Linked DNA regions of Oryctolagus cuniculus. The protein of the gene in region 1 interacts with the protein of each later gene in a pairwise test. Links are inferred from orthologs where the notes say so. Each region holds a gene or a part of one and is shown in the gene's direction. Other genes may lie near its edges.

What was found. The genes of interacting proteins can lie anywhere in the genome.
Region 2: the proteins of HNRNPUL1 (region 1) and PRPF40A interact in a two-hybrid assay, tested with the Homo sapiens proteins (2 studies listed by BioGRID and IntAct). The link is inferred for Oryctolagus cuniculus from reciprocal best matches to the Homo sapiens genes HNRNPUL1 and PRPF40A.
Region 3: the proteins of HNRNPUL1 (region 1) and heterogeneous nuclear ribonucleoprotein F interact in a two-hybrid assay, tested with the Homo sapiens proteins (3 studies listed by BioGRID and IntAct). The link is inferred for Oryctolagus cuniculus from reciprocal best matches to the Homo sapiens genes HNRNPUL1 and HNRNPF.

Annotation. Positions count from the first base shown.
Region 1 is NC_091449.1:13,337,424-13,342,203, reverse strand, and holds part of HNRNPUL1 (heterogeneous nuclear ribonucleoprotein U-like protein 1), read left to right. Parts: intron 1-643; coding exon 644-800; intron 801-3,392; coding exon 3,393-3,466; intron 3,467-4,780.
Region 2 is NC_091434.1:89,170,653-89,175,924, forward strand, and holds the start of PRPF40A (pre-mRNA-processing factor 40 homolog A), read left to right. Parts: upstream 1-2,141; 5' UTR 2,142-2,349; coding exon 2,350-2,559; intron 2,560-3,597; coding exon 3,598-3,729; intron 3,730-5,108; exon of another isoform or gene 5,109-5,140; coding exon of another isoform or gene 5,141-5,188; intron 5,189-5,272. Other genes in the region: ARL6IP6 (ADP-ribosylation factor-like protein 6-interacting protein 6), read right to left, coding at 811-1,210.
Region 3 is NC_091446.1:59,592,620-59,597,919, reverse strand, and holds heterogeneous nuclear ribonucleoprotein F, read left to right. Parts: upstream 1-2,169; 5' UTR 2,170-3,338; coding exon 3,339-4,586; 3' UTR 4,587-5,218; downstream 5,219-5,300. Other genes in the region: CTNNA3 (catenin alpha-3), read left to right, coding at 353-519.

The DNA of each region.
Region 1 (4,780 bases):
TGAAATGCGCAGGTGTGACTGCACCCAGCACTGGGCGGGTGCTGTGAGAGAGGGGTCTGGGGTGAGTCCACACTTGCTCTTGGTTGGATGCAGGTTTTTGGAGTGCCTGGGAATGGGACTTTCCTGTGACCTGCAGTACCCTGTCCGCATCTTGGCTTCCTGTGTGTGGTGTGACTTAATGAGGTGAACCCTAGCTATGGTGTAGCTCAACCGCAGATCCTCCCTTACGGGGTGACTCTGGGCTCTTAGAAGTCTTGGAGGACTCTTTTCCAATCACCACAGGCCAAGAGAGCTGCCAGCCTTCATGGGTCTCTGGCCTGTTAGCCAAAGGCAGCTTTTTCACCTTTGAATTAAAAAGACTGTCGTCATTTAGTGCTGAAGCCCCCTTCCCCGTGAAGCCTGAGCTGTGTGACTGCCAGCTGTACGGCCACATGCTCTCCTGTGTCCTGGCCCTGTTCTCCGCGCTCACCTTCTTGGCTTGCTCAGCAGGCTTCTTCCTGTTGCACCCAGCAAAGCTGCCTGTGCCCCACCCTTCACTCCTAGTCAGCAGTCCACCTGTATCTCCTGGGGTAAAAGGGACCAGCGTTTCTCCCGCAGCTGAGGAGTTTCCAAGTGTGACCACCATGTGAATTTGTCCTGGCAGTAGAAGGGAAGACAGAGATGAAACAAGAAGGACCCACCAGCTTCCTCCCGCCTGAAGCTCCTCAGCTCAAGCCCGACAGACAGCAGTTCCAGAGTCGCAAGAGGCCTTACGAAGAAAACCGGGGCCGCGGGTACTTTGAGCACCGAGAGGATCGGAGGTGAGAATCTGAGGCGCGAGTCGCAGTATTCCGTAGGCTTCCACGCCCGCGGCCCCATACCCGCTGGGGACCTTAGTTCTAAGGCAGAGGAGCCGAGCAGGTCTCCTTGGGCTGACACTTTCTCCCAGTCCTTCCTGCACTGCTCCCAGGATCAGCGTTCCTGAACTTGGATCTTTCTCCCGGTTCCCACTTCTTGTTACCTGCAGGGTGAATCCCAAACACCTCGCATTTGGGTGTGAGTTGCCAGGCTACGTCTGAGTCTTGGCCTTACTGCCTGCGGTGTCCCGCACAGTGTCCTGTTCCTAGTAGCCGCGTGGGGTCCTTTGGTTCAGAGAAAGATCTCTTGCCCAGGCGAGCCGTCTCCTTCCATCCTCCCACTCAGTGCTTCCATGTGGCACCCACCCCTGGGCTAGACACCAGGGACACAGAGGTGATGTGGACAGTGGGGTCTGCGTTCTTTTTTCCTGACAGGGACTGAGAACAGACACTCTCAGCAGTAAGCCCCAGTACTGGTTACTTGTCAGGCTGCAGGGGAGTTTCAGGAGCTCACAAGAGGGCCACTCTGGCCATTTGCCTTTTCCCTTTCCTGACCAGCCCTCCCGCTCCTTCGCTTCCAGGCTCAGTCCTGCCCCTCCATCCGTCGCTGGGTCTCACAGACGGTGGTAAAGTTAGGACGTGGCGCCCTCCTCACATGGTTTCTTCCTCTGCCTCCCACAGAGCACAGGCTGCTTGCTGATGGGGCGCAGAGGAAGAGCGCGCATTCTGATCTGGGGCCGGCAGGAAAGGATTCCCAGGAGGAAGCTTCCCTGTGCTGAGCCCCTTGTGTGTACCGGGCTCTCTGCTGGCTGTGGGTCAGCAGGCTGGAAGGGAACTCCGGCAGAGGGGAGCCGCAAGCTGGGGCCACACGACCTGGTCTGTGCACACGGTGCGCTAGGTCAATGCTGGCAGGGCCCTGGGCCTTAGACCCCGTCTTTCTGCCTCTCTCCCTTATTCCTGTAAAGCCCAAGCCAGCATTGTAAGTCCCTTTTTTAGTGCTTTGGTAGGCAGATGAATCTTGTTCATAATTTAGGACACTTGAAAAGGACTGGAAAAAAAAATGGGTCACTTTAAATCCTTTTAGATGTAGGGTTTTAAGAAAACTGTTATGTGGACAGGCTGTAATTATCGGAGTTTATCTAGGATCTTGCACATTCTCCTTCCTGGCCAGCACCCTTAGGGATACCAAGAAGTTCATTGTGGAGACCACTGTCATGCAAAAGGCATGGATCAGAATCTTGGTTCTGAGGGACCAGTCTTTTTTTTTTTTTTTTTTTTTTTTTTTGGACAGGCAGAGTGGACAGAGAGAGAGAGACAGAGAGAAAGGTCTTCCCTTTGCCGTTGGTTCACCCTCCAATGACCACTGCGGCCAGCGCACCACGCTGATTCGAAGGCAGGAGCCAGGTGCTTCTCCTGGTCTCCCATGGGGTGCAGGGCCCAAGCACTTGGGCCGTCCTCCACTGCACTCCCTGGCCACAGCAGAGAGCTGGCCTGGAAGAGGGGCAACTGGGACAGGATCCGGTGCCCCTACCGGGACTAGAACCCGGTGTGCCAGCGCTGCAAGGCAGAGGATTAGCCTAGTGAGCCGCAGCACCGGCCGGGACAAGTCTTTGAGAAAGCATTCCCAGGCCAGTGTTGTACATCATGTCGAGCCACTGCTGGCAATACCAGCATCCCATATGAGCACCCGTTCAAGTCCTAGCTGCTCCATTTCCTACCCAGCTCCCTGCTAATGTGCCTGGGAAAATAGCAGATGATGACCCAAGTGTTTTGGCCCCTGCCACCCACATGGGAGACCTAGATGGAGTTCCAGGCTCTTGGCTGCAGCCTGGCCCAGTCCTTGCTATTGTGACCATTTGAGGAGTGAACCAGTGGTTGGAAGATCCCTCCACCTCTCCCTCTCTTAACTATAGCCTTCAAATAAATAAATCTTTTTTAAAAATTTAAAACTCTAGGCCGGCGCCGCGGCTCACTAGGCTAATCCTCCGCCTAGCGGCACTGGCACACCGGGTGCTAGTCCCGGTTGCCCCTCTTCCAGGCCAGCTCTCTGCTGTGGCCCGGGAGTGCAGTGGAGGATGGCCCAGGTGCTTGGGCCCTGCACCCCATGGGAGACCAGGAAAAGCACCTGGCTCCTGGCTCCTGCCATCAGATCAGCGCGGTGCGCCGGCCGCAGCGCGCCGGCCGCGGCGGCCATTGGAGGGTGAACCAACGGCAAAGGAAGACCTTTCTCTCTGTCTCTCTCTTTCACTGTCCACTCTGCCTGTCAAAAAAAAAAAAAAAAAATTAAAACTCTATAAAGGATTCTGATGCCCCACTTCAGTAGAGCATGCCCTGTGTCCTTGTGTCCACCCACCCTGCACGCCCCACCCGGAAGTACCAGTCATTGCTTTCATTGCTAATAGGAAGAGTTCCAGAGTTGTATTGCCAACCTGTGAGAGAAGAAATGGAGACGAGGAAGCAGGCTGGGGCCACTGCACATTCCAGCAGAGCCTTTTCTGTCCCTCCTCTGTGTTCCTGCCACTATTCTCTTGTGATTAACCTCACTTTGCAACGCAGGGGCCGCTCCCCTCAGCCTCCCGCCGAAGAGGATGAAGACGACTTTGATGACACCCTTGTTGCCATCGATACATGTGAGTCCTCACGGTGCCCATGTGGTTGTACCTCTGGGCAGCATTGCAGGAGCAGTGCCTTGGCCTTTACCAGAACCCCTGCCTGGCATCGTGCACCTGTGAGACGCAGCATCGCTCAGGACGTGGGATGGGAGATAGGAGACCGACTCCCAGCTCTTGCTGGGGACCCTGGGCAGCTCGTTCTGCTTCCAAGCTCCTCTCCGAAGAGGAGTGCCCGCCTTGCGGCCTCCGTGGGTTCTCAGGTTTCTCGGAGCCTGCACCTGGAAGGGGGCTCATCTCAGCAGGAGAGGAATCAGTGCTGCTGGGGAGACTCAGCCCTCTGACAGCCGCTGCCCCATTTCCTCCAGCTGCTCGTGTCCTGGTGAAGCCAGCGTCACTTGGTCTGCTGAGGCACTAACCCGCCTGGCCTGCCCTGCTCTCTGTCCTCTGGTTCAGTTTTCTTTCCACTGATGAGTGGCGTTCACGTTGACCACATCTAAACCTGTGGAGGAATGGTTGTGGGCGTCCTGGCCCTTCTCAGATGTCCCAAGTTGAGGATCAGAGTGATAGACTGAAGCGGACTGCACCCAGAAGCCCACCAGGTCTGAGAACATTGCGCCTCCCCACAGAGGGAAAGGCTGCCTGTGCGTGCATTTCTTTACGTAGCACGTCTTTATAGAGCAGGGGCTATGGGCTTTGGTGAGGGGTGAAGACATCTCACATGCAGTCTCTTCTGTCACACGTTGTCAAAGACAAAACCTACCTGAGGTGAAGCTAAACTCTTTTGAAAGTATTGGGTGGCAGTTGTCCCCGAGGCAGCATCTGGTCAGACGCTAAGTGATCAGACTTAAAAAAGGCTTCCTTGGAGAGGGGGAGGAGTCAGAGGTGTAGGAGTGGTGTCCTGGGCCCACAGGAGCAGGAGGAGCCTGTGGTGCGCCCAGATTTGCTAGGTGGCAGGTGTGGATCCAGGATCGGATTGTTTTACAGCCGTTGATAACAGAAGTCTGGCTCCCAAGCTGATAGAGCTGACATGGGGAAGTGTTTGAAATCTGTGGCATTGGGGTTTAGCTGTTCTGTACACAGTTCCCACCGGAGGCATTTGCATATCCTTGGGCCCTGCCTGCATGGTCAAGAGCGCAGTTCCTGGGGCTCGCATTCTGATCCAGTGTGTTAAGCCACAGCTTGCAATGCCAGTATCGGAGTGCTGCCTCAAGTCTCAGCTGCTCTGCTTCCAAATCTGGCTTCCTGCTGATGTGCCTGGGAAGGCCGTGGATGATGCCTAACTGCTTGGGTCCTTGTCACCCATGTGTTCCTGGCTCCTGGCTTCTGCCTGGC
Region 2 (5,272 bases), on another chromosome or scaffold:
TACAGGATGCTTCCATACAACACTTTCTTGGTTTTTCTTTTTCATTAATTTAGCCATGATCACACCCGAGTGTGATCACACACTGAGATTTTAACTCTTCAATTTAACATACAATACTCGGAAAACCATACTCGGATAATACACCCGTCAGTTTAGGAAAAACTTTCAAGAAACACTTATTTTTATTCTAATCTGGCCAATATTTCAACTTCAGACATGGGAAAATAAAACTACAGAAAGAATAGCCTGTACCTCACGCAGAACTTTGCATGCTACACCTGGTTACAAACTTGATCTTGGAAAAAAGCTGAGACTATTTCACCTCCAAAAGTCGACCTTTGGGCTGTGGGATGGAAATCCTTGCCCTTCAGAAATTGAGTAATGCGAAGGGCTGGTGGACAACATATCTTCAGGCATTTGTGGATCAACGCCCTTCCATACTCATAGCCTATTTAATTACACGCACTTCCTGCTGTCTGCTAGGAGGTGTTGTGCAGTTCGCTTACATAACTGTGCCAGTGTTTTGCCTCACTTGTTCAACGACCTGGATACTTCTTTCCAAGTCATTTAATTGAGAGACCTCTTCTTAAAATGGGTCCCCCGATCGCAGACCAGGGACCTCCGCCCAGGCAGCGAGGACAAAGAGGAACGGGTACAGAAAGGTACAGACAGGGCTCTGGGGGAACGCGGCTGCCTGCCTGCCTGCCTGCCTGCTCTGGGGACGGCGGGGGCTGAGGGCTGGACGGAAGCGAGAGCCACACCCGGGCCCATCTGAACTCTGGGCAGACTCTTCGGCCCGGGCTGCGATACCTTTTACGACCAGGTAGACGATGGCGAGCAGAAAGGCGAGGAGGATGGCGAACAGCAGCGCACACAGAATAGAAAGGACCTGAACCGGCCACTGCCGAGCCGAGGTTCGGCTTCCCGCAGCAGCCGGGAAGATGCCGTTGCGCTTCTCCGGCAGCACCGGCGACCCATCTCCATCTGGCGGGAACAGAGAACCTCTCCTGGACTCCGACGACGGCCCAGCCGAGAACTCTGCCCGCAAGTCGCGGGCCACTTGGGTGCATCCCTCCTCGTCGTCGACTTCGCCCACACCCCAGCTGTCCCCCTGAGAGAAGGCGGAGTACTGCGGCGCCGCGAAGGGCACCGGCGTGCCGAGGCGGCGGCGGCGCGGCGCAGAACGCCTCCCGCTCTCCACAAAAGACATGGCGGGAAAGACGGCGAGAACCGCCGAGGTCCAACGTCTCTCACTGGCCCCGCCCCGCGACCGCAACAGCCAATCAGCGGCAGGGCCCCGCTGCGGCCTCCACCACCCGGCCAGGCGCGCAGGGGTGCGAGAGGGTGGGCGGCGGCGCCGAGAGGGAGCAGAGGGCTCGCCGGAGAGGCTGGGCGCCTCGCGGCCGCGGGCCGATTCCGGGACAGCAGGCGAGAGCGGGCGCAGGGAAGCGTGCAGGGACAGGCAAGCCGAGGCCCCAAATAGCCGAGTTGCCTCTCCCCAGCGTGCTTAGTCCCGGCCACCGGCGCGTCGCCACCCAGGCAAGCGCGTGCCCCAGCAGCCCCACAGTCAACACCGGGTCCTAAAGCTCGCCCAGGCCCTTCCGATACACATTCAAGAGCCTGCGTGCTTTTCCCCCTCTACGCTCACACTGCTCCCCAGTCTGCTCCTCCTAACCCGTCGCTTTGCCTCGGGAGTCCATCCCGCTCTCGGCGTGTTTCTCCCCACCCACAACTTCCCTCCCAGCGACTCGGCGCGCTCTGCGCCGCTGCAGGCAGAGCTCCCTTGCTCTGGACGCCTCTTCGCTAGCCCGTCCCTCCCCGCCCCTTCGCCTCCCACACAGCGCGCGCACTGGCGCGCATCCTGCCCCAGCTACCGCTAACGCTGGAAGCTGCTTACCCCGCCCCCACCCCACTCCACCCCACCCCACCCTACCCTCTTGGGGGCGGCCGCAGGTTTGTGGCGCGTACGTAACTCGGGCGGGGGAGATGGTGAAGGCGGCGGGCCCCAATACCCCACCCCTACGCAGTGAGGCTTTTGGAGCTCAGGGAAGATAGGGCACGGTAGTCTTCCTCCGCCGAAAGGAAGTTGGTAGAGTTTTCCAGTCAAAGGACTCGACGCGGAAACTTCCTCTTGTCCCTCCTCTTCCCCCCCTTCCCGTGCACGGGACGCCGAGTGAGGCTGAGGCTCAGAGCCAATCGCCGCAGAAGTGCGAGTCGGCGGCGCACTGCGATTGGACAGCGGAGAAGCCTGTCATTTTATTGGCCCCGCTGAGCCCGCCCCATAGCTCAGGGCATCCTTTAACCTTTGGCCCCAGCGGGCGCCAGCCACTCAGATCGCTTCTTGTTGGTATGTGTAGCGGCAGTGGCCGCCGGCCGAGCAGTCTGAGCCCGACGATGAGGCCGGGGACGGGAGCCGAGCGTGGAGGCCTCATGGTGAGTGAAATGGAGAACCAACCTCCCTCGCGGGGTCCTGGGGACGGGGAGCCGAGATTGTCCGGCTCCAACCTCTGCTCCAGCTCTTGGGTTTCCGCTGACGGCTTCCTGAGGAGACGGCCCTCGGTAAGGGATCGGTGGTGTAGGGGGAAAGCGGCACAATGAAAAACGGAGGCAGACAGGAAGCGTACTCCGAAAGGAGAAGAGTGGAGTGGACGAAGGAAGAACTCCAGATGGTGGGCTATGTCCCGAGGGAGAGAGACGCAGGGCAGGGCTGCACAAAGAGAAGTATGTGGGACCTTTGAAGTTCCCAGTGGGCTTGGCCTAGACAGATGCGCGGTGAAGGTGCTGGCAGGCCTTGGGCGGGGCGAGCGTCTCGGAGCCGAAGGCCTGGTTTAGCAGAGGCTTGATGTCGCTAAGACTGCAAGAAGCTGATTTGTTTGCACGCGTAGTGGTGGTGGTCTGCGGCGGGAGGAGGGGGTCTCTGGGATAATTGGCTGGGGAGAATTCCCTGGTTTAAAAGCCAGGAACAATGGACACATAGGAAGAAAGTAGTGCGTTAAATGCGCAGTGAAATAGTTGACTTGGTTGTTTGCATTTAGTGTCTGTGAGTGACAGAAACTTAAGTTTTCGGAGATGTGTTTTCGGGAGAGGAACTTTTACCTGTGCTGAAGCTTAGGTTAGGAAATAGTATGTTAGGCATGAAGTGGCTCTGACAACCCATCCTGTGCATTCTGTTAAGACAGGTTTGCCTCGAAGTGAATTTGACAAATTCAAAGTCTTTGAAGTGTCAAATTAGTGGCATTGTAAAATGACAGCTGGCTTTTTTTTTTTATATCTATGTAAAACAGGATAAAGATGTGATTTTTTTGACCATAACTTTCTAAGTAAGCATTGAATATGTATTTTCCAAAACCAGCAAGCAATTCGGTAGATGATTGAATCAGTGCTTAGTGAAGGGGGGTGGGGGGACCAAGCTGATTCAACCCTCCAGGATCATTTTTCACCTTTTCCACATTGTTATGGAATGTGCAAGTTCATTATACTACAGTCATGCATCCCACAGTAGCCTAATATAGGCCACTACAGGTAAGAGATTTCTTGAAATGAGATTGCTGAGATGCTTATTAACTTGGTAATTTTCAAATGCTCATTATTTTTCAGATGGGGCACCCTGGCATGCATTATGCCCCAATGGGAATGCACCCTATGGGTCAGAGAGCAAATATGCCTCCTGTACCTCATGGAATGATGCCACAAATGATGCCCCCTATGGGAGGGCCACCAATGGGACAAGTAAGAACGTTATGTTTTTGTTTTGTTTCCTATTTGTTGGTGCTTTTTTGCCTCAGGTATTGTGTCGACATTTTAGAATTTTAAATCAGTGCCGTACTTGTAGCTGGTTGAGGATTAATTTATGCCCAGATAAAGTTTTCAGATAAAAATGTTGCATCAAGACTGTAATCAAATTTTGAATGTAATGAAAAAGTATTCTGTATCAAAAAATTACTACCTCAACAAAATTTAAGAGTTTTTTTTCCTAAGTAACTGTGTATCTAGGCTTTTTATTTAATGTCCTTTTCTCTCTTGAGCATGTCAATTGGAGTTAACTTTTTAAGAGTAAATATTGTATGAAATGTCAACATAACTTATTTCAATGGACTATGTAAGTGTATAGACTCTGAAAATAGCGATTGTTTAGGCCTTTGACTTGGAATGAATTTTACTGCTTAATATCTTCTCCTTTGTCTGTTGTGGGGTGGTGAGGGAGGGTTGGGAAATTTGCTCTGTAATTCTGATTCTTCATAGAGCAGTGTCAGGTAGTTCGTTTTCAACTTATACTGTTTTTGGTTTTTAAAAAAATGCTTTTTGCTTCTGCACTCCTACTTTTGAGCTGTCCCTTCCATCTCTAACATAAATTGTAAATGGATTGTTTTGTAGGAGTGATTTAGAGCAAAAGGTTTATGCTGACTCAGCAGCATCCGTAGACCTAAGTTAGTTAGCTTGATTTAGTAGAACTAAGTTTCTAGAGAAGCATCCAATAAAGGTAACAGGTTTAGTTACCATGAATAATTTTGTGCTTTATGTTATTAGGTTCTTTAATACACACTCTTTAGGTTGTTGGGTCATTTCTATTTGAGTATCTCAGTAAATCAGCAACAGCTTAGGCTAACAAGAGTATTTTGGAAAGCCAGTAGGTATGATCTTTTGTTGATTAGTATTATTTGATATGTAAGTATTTAAGCCTTGATGGTTAGAGTTATTGGTGAAACTGCAGTGAAAAAAGGAGCATGTTATGTGTCTCTCTCTTTTTACTTAACCTTACAAGGAGAAGGGCTCAATATCAAGTGGTTTTCTTCTTTTTTATTTGGAATATAGCCCTAAATTTTGTGTAAAAATCTTTATTCATAGGCACCAGATCCAAAAGATTCTGCCAGCAGGAGTTCTTTAAATAAGACTCTTTTATTCTGTTACTCTAGAATAACACAGGTTTTAACACTCCCTAGGTGATGCAGAAACAACTCTGATTCCTCTTCTGTTTCTTTCCATCTCTAAGCAGCAAAGAGCTCTTCTTGTTTTCTTGGTAGAGCTGCTCTAACTAGATAATGAGCTTTAAAAAATATTTTATTCTTTAAATGCTCTGGTTCTTATTTAAAATTAGTTTCTTTCCACAGAAAGATAAAATAAAACAATTTGCTACTGCCAGATGCTTCTCTCTTTTCTGGGGCCTTCTGTTTCCATTGGGCCAGTCAAGGTAAGTTTTGCAAGGGATTGACCTGCTTACCCTTGCTGTAATGGTGCTGTTGCAGTACCAAAACCAAAACACAAGCTAGCATTT
Region 3 (5,300 bases), on another chromosome or scaffold:
ATTTTTGTAAACAGAGTTGTTTATGATTGAAGTTTTAGTGATGAAACCTTTCACAGTAAATGAGATTCAGCAAGTGCAAAAGTTGACAGCCATTTTACTGGATGTTGCTAGTCAGTTGAGCACAATTTTCTTGCAGGAAGATGGTATCATGCTTTAATTTGAGAGAATTTATCAAAAACAAATGTCAATTTGAAACTTCATTGTTTATTAAAACACAACTTTAGTGTCAACTGATAATATTTTAAAATTATGCTTAGTCATGGAATACACTTGGAATTAGAATGGCTAATGAATGCTGAAATAAGCATAGTTGAAACTTAAAGTATAGCTTATTTGGGGTTTTATTTTTCAGGTAAAGCTTTGAAGGTATCAGCTGAGCAATTCACAGATGACCCCTGTCATCTCCCAAAAAGGGAGGCTGTTGTTCAAGCTGCACGTGCCTTGTTGGCTGCAGTAACTCGACTCCTTATCCTTGCGGACATGATTGATGTCATGTGTCTTCTGCAACACGTGTCCACCGTAAGTAAAAGATGACTTAGTTTACCTTGGCATTGTTCTTGCTTCCAATTCCATTCTCTGAGCCTGGCATCAATCCTGCTGCATCTTGGCCTCATCCTCATCTTTTAATATCACTCATCAGAAGCTGGCCAAATTGGGTTGTGAAGACTAATGTATACTTCAAAGAATGAAGCCAGAAGTGAGTCTTAGAGCCGCTGGAAAACTGAGTAACAGAAGATGGCTTACTGATAACAAAGTGACTAGGAGAAACTTACAAGCTTTTGACCATTTAAATTATTGTGCCCCATATACATATGAATAAAACATAGCATAATTATATGGATACTATATGATAAATATATACTTATAAATAATTTGTGTAAGAAATCTTCAAGCTTACAATGTTTCGAAGTTTACCTTAGTTTGTAAATGAATGCTACTTTGCCAGCTCCTTGTGATCCAGGATAAATAGTGAATGTTTATGGTTCAGTTGTGATGTCTAGGGTGATCTATTATGAAAATGTATACATAGGTTTAAATGAGTGAATAATATATTTCAACTAGGAGGATACAAAAATAGCAATATATGCAGCTTGCTTTATTTTACCAAACAAGTCCATATCATAGTTTTAGTAGAAAATTTCATTAACATCTTTTTATTAAACTTTCTGTATTTGTTTAGTTTGATGAAGTCATTAATAGTGTCCAGATGAAAAGGTTGCAAATTCTTGAAATCTCTTGTATTTCTTGCTTTAAAAAGGACCTTAATTTTTGTCTATAAATACATCTGTTTTCATAAAGGTACCTGATGATTATAGTACGCCATTTGACAACTGATGACCTTATTTGATTGACCTGCTTGTCAAAATAATTTATTCTACTTGCTGAGCTAAGCCTTTCTTTGCATTTCACTCATAATCACTATCACTTACTTTAACATTTAGAGTAGGCCTTCCATTGTACTTTCATCTTTTTATCATTTTACTACTATAAAAATAATTCAATACTTTTTAACTCTTGTGACTTAGTTATTTGGTGAATAACCTTAGAAAAATTTCTGAACTTTTATGAGATCATTTTTATCACACGTGATACAGACACTAGTTAATTCTGTAGACCAGAAATGAGTATGAAAGGTCCTGTTTCAGACTTGACTTGTTGAGATAGGACCAAATGAATGGCTTTTGTAAGGTGAAATGGATACCTACGTAATCAGGAGGTAACTATATATATATATATAAAGAACATAACCAGCTTATTAAATACCATTTTAATTTAATGCCCTCTGAGTTAGGCACAGTGGTAGGTGTGGGGAGCAACTGGGAGCAACTCGGACTAGACTAAGTTACTGGAATTAAGACTTATTCTATGCATCTGCTCTCCCACAATATGGCGCTGAGAAGGGAAACAGCTTCTACACAGCTGCCTCCAGTTCAACCAATAAACTGTAGGACCTGCTCCTGATTGGAGGAGAGCAGCGTACTCGGCGTGTGGGTAGCAGAGTTGGGATTGGTGGAAGAGGACTATAAAGGAGGAGAGAGACAACATGCACCAGGAACATCTATCTGAAGGAACACCTGAGCAGCCCCCGAGAGAGCCGGCCGGCCGGCGGTGTGCCGCTCCCCCGCTGAAGTGGGGAAAGTGGCAGGGGGAACCGCCCTTCCACGGAGGTGGAAGGGTCGGTAGCCAACCCGGGAAGAACCAGCAGCAAACCCGGGGAGGGCCGAGCAGACGAAAGAACAGCGCAGGGTCCTGTGTCGTTCCTCCACGAAGACGGGGAGCGACAGTAGGCAATTCACACACATCACGTTGTTCAAATGAAGCAGGGGGATATTTGCAGATCAAATAAATGCAGAGTTCTACCTGCTGCAATAAAAATTATAGTTAACCTTTATTGAATATTTTACAATGTGCCAAGTACTGTTTTGGTGTATCTCCTTTAATTCAGTCCTCATTATAGCATTATGATTATGATTCCTATCTTACAGAGGAGGAAACTGTGGCCCATTAAATTTAAATAACTTGCTCAAGACAACAAGAGAAAAATAACACTTTTGGAACTTAGTACTATAAAAGTTAGAATAGCTTTAACTATAAATAGCTTTCAGAAATGTGTAGATGAGCCGGCACCGCGGCTCACTAGGCTAATCCTCCGCCTGGCGGCGCTGGCACACCAGGTTCTAGTCCCGGGCGGGGCGCCGGATTCTGTCCCGGTTGCCCCTCTTCCAGGCCAGCTCTCTGCTGTGGCCAGGGAGTGCAGTGGAGGATGGCCCAAGTGCTTGGGCCCTGCACCCCATGGGAGACCAGGAAAAGCACTGGCTCCTGGCTCCTGCCATCGGATCAGCGTGGTGCGCTGGCCGCAGCGCGCCAGCCGCGGCGGCCATTGGAGGGTGAACCAACGGCAAAGGAAGACCTTTCTCTCTGTCTCTCTCTCTCACTATCCACTCTGCCTGTCAAAAAAAAAAAAAAAATGTGTAGATGAGTTCATAGGCTTATAACAGGTTAATAAATGAAGTTGAGTGTGTCAACATCTTTCATTTTTAAAAATGATTTATTCCGTCGTGGAAGCAGGATTGCGCCGCGTCTTCCTGAAGAAGGTTAAGAACAAAAAGATGCACCTGGAGTTTGCCTGGAGCCCTCTGCGCGTCTAAGCTCGGGTGGGATCTGGGGTCCTTCGCTGGAAGCCGCTCTTGCAAATAGAAACCAGGCCAGCTCTCCTCAGTGGACAGTTGGTTACCTACCAGAGGTGTCTCCTACTGAAGGTATCCTTGGCGATACTCTAAGCCATAAAAAGACAACTTGCACCCAAGTTTGTCTGACATCTATCCTGTCAAGTGTCCATGATGCTGGGTCCCGAGGGAGGTGAAGGCTTTGTGGTCAAGCTCCGTGGCCTGCCCTGGTCCTGCTCTATTGAGGACGTGCAGAACTTCCTGTCCGACTGCACGATTCATGATGGGGCCGCAGGCGTTCATTTTATCTACACTAGAGAAGGCAGGCAGAGTGGTGAGGCATTTGTCGAACTTGAATCAGAAGATGATGTCAAAATGGCCCTGAAAAAAGACAGGGAAAGCATGGGGCACTGGTACATTGAGGTGTTCAAGTCTCACAGAACCGAGATGGATTGGGTGTTGAAGCACAGTGGTCCAAACAGCGCTGACACCGCTAATGATGGTTTCGTGCGGCTTCGAGGACTCCCGTTTGGATGCACAAAGGAAGAAATTGTTCAGTTTTTCTCAGGGTTGGAAATCGTGCCAAACGGGATCACTTTGCCTGTGGACCCCGAGGGCAAGATTACAGGGGAGGCCTTCGTGCAGTTTGCCTCTCAGGAGCTAGCAGAGAAGGCGCTAGGGAAGCACAAGGAGAGAATAGGGCACAGATATATTGAGGTATTTAAGAGCAGTCAGGAAGAAGTGAGGTCATACTCAGATCCTCCTCTGAAGTTCATGTCTGTTCAGCGACCCGGGCCCTATGACAGGCCTGGCACAGCCCGGAGGTATATTGGCATTGTGAAGCAGGCAGGCTTGGAGAGAATGCGGCCTGGTGCCTGCAGCGCTGGCTACGGGGGCTATGAGGAGTACAGTGGCCTCAGCGATGGCTACGGCTTCACCACTGATCTGTTCGGAAGAGACCTCAGCTACTGCCTCTCAGGAATGTACGACCACAGATACGGAGACAGCGAGTTCGCAGTGCAGAGCACCACCGGCCACTGCGTCCACATGAGAGGGCTGCCATACAAAGCGACCGAGAACGACATCTACAACTTCTTCTCTCCACTTAACGCGGTGAGAGTGCATATTGAGATCGGCCCAGATGGAAGAGTGACGGGCGAAGCTGATGTGGAGTTTGCCACCCATGAAGAAGCTGGGGCAGCGATGTCGAAAGATAGGGCCAATATGCAGCACAGATACATAGAACTCTTCTTGAATTCCACCACAGGGGCCAGCAACGGGGCCTACAGCAGCCAGGTGATGCAGGGCATGGGGGTGTCTGCGGCTCAGGCCACCTACAGTGGCCTGGAGAGCCAGTCAGTGAGCGGTTGTTATGGCGCTGGCTATAGTGGTCAGAACAGCATGGGTGGATATGATTAGTTTTGTAGAAGCATTTGAGTTAATTTCAATCAAATTTTCAGAGGCAGCCAGCAAGCAGTGAAAAAGCAGTTATTACCCTAGAGGAAGCTGTGGGACCCATTTTGCACCATGAGTTTGTGAAATCTGGATTAAAAAATTACCTCTTCAATGTTTTCTCATGCAAACTTTTCTTCTAGCATGTGATATTGAGTAAACTAAAACTATTTTCCGCTTTTCTCGATTAACATTTTAGTAGTATCCTTCCGAGTGATGTTATCTGAGTTAAAGTAGTTTAAGTATGTTAAATTGTGGATCTTTTACACCACACCACAGTGAACACCTTGGGGAGATGTACTTTTTTGGAAAACTCAAAGGTGCTAGATCCCTAATTCAAAGAGAAACATTTCTCATGTTTGTTCATTCTAGTTTCTATTTTCATTTAAATCTTTTAGGTTAAGTTTAAGCTTTTTAAAAGTTAGTTTTGAGAATTGAGACACAATACTAATACTGTAGGAATTGGTGAGGCCTTGACTTAAAACTTTCTTTGTACTGTGATTTCCTTTGGGGTGTATTTTGCTAAGTGAAACTTGATAAATTTTTTGTTAACTAAATTTTTTTCTTAAAATAAAGACTTTTTCACACACACAAAAAAAGATTTATTTATTTGAAAGGCAGAGTGACATGGGAGAGAGAGAGAGAGAGAGAGAGAGAGAGAGAGAGAGAGAGAGACTTGTT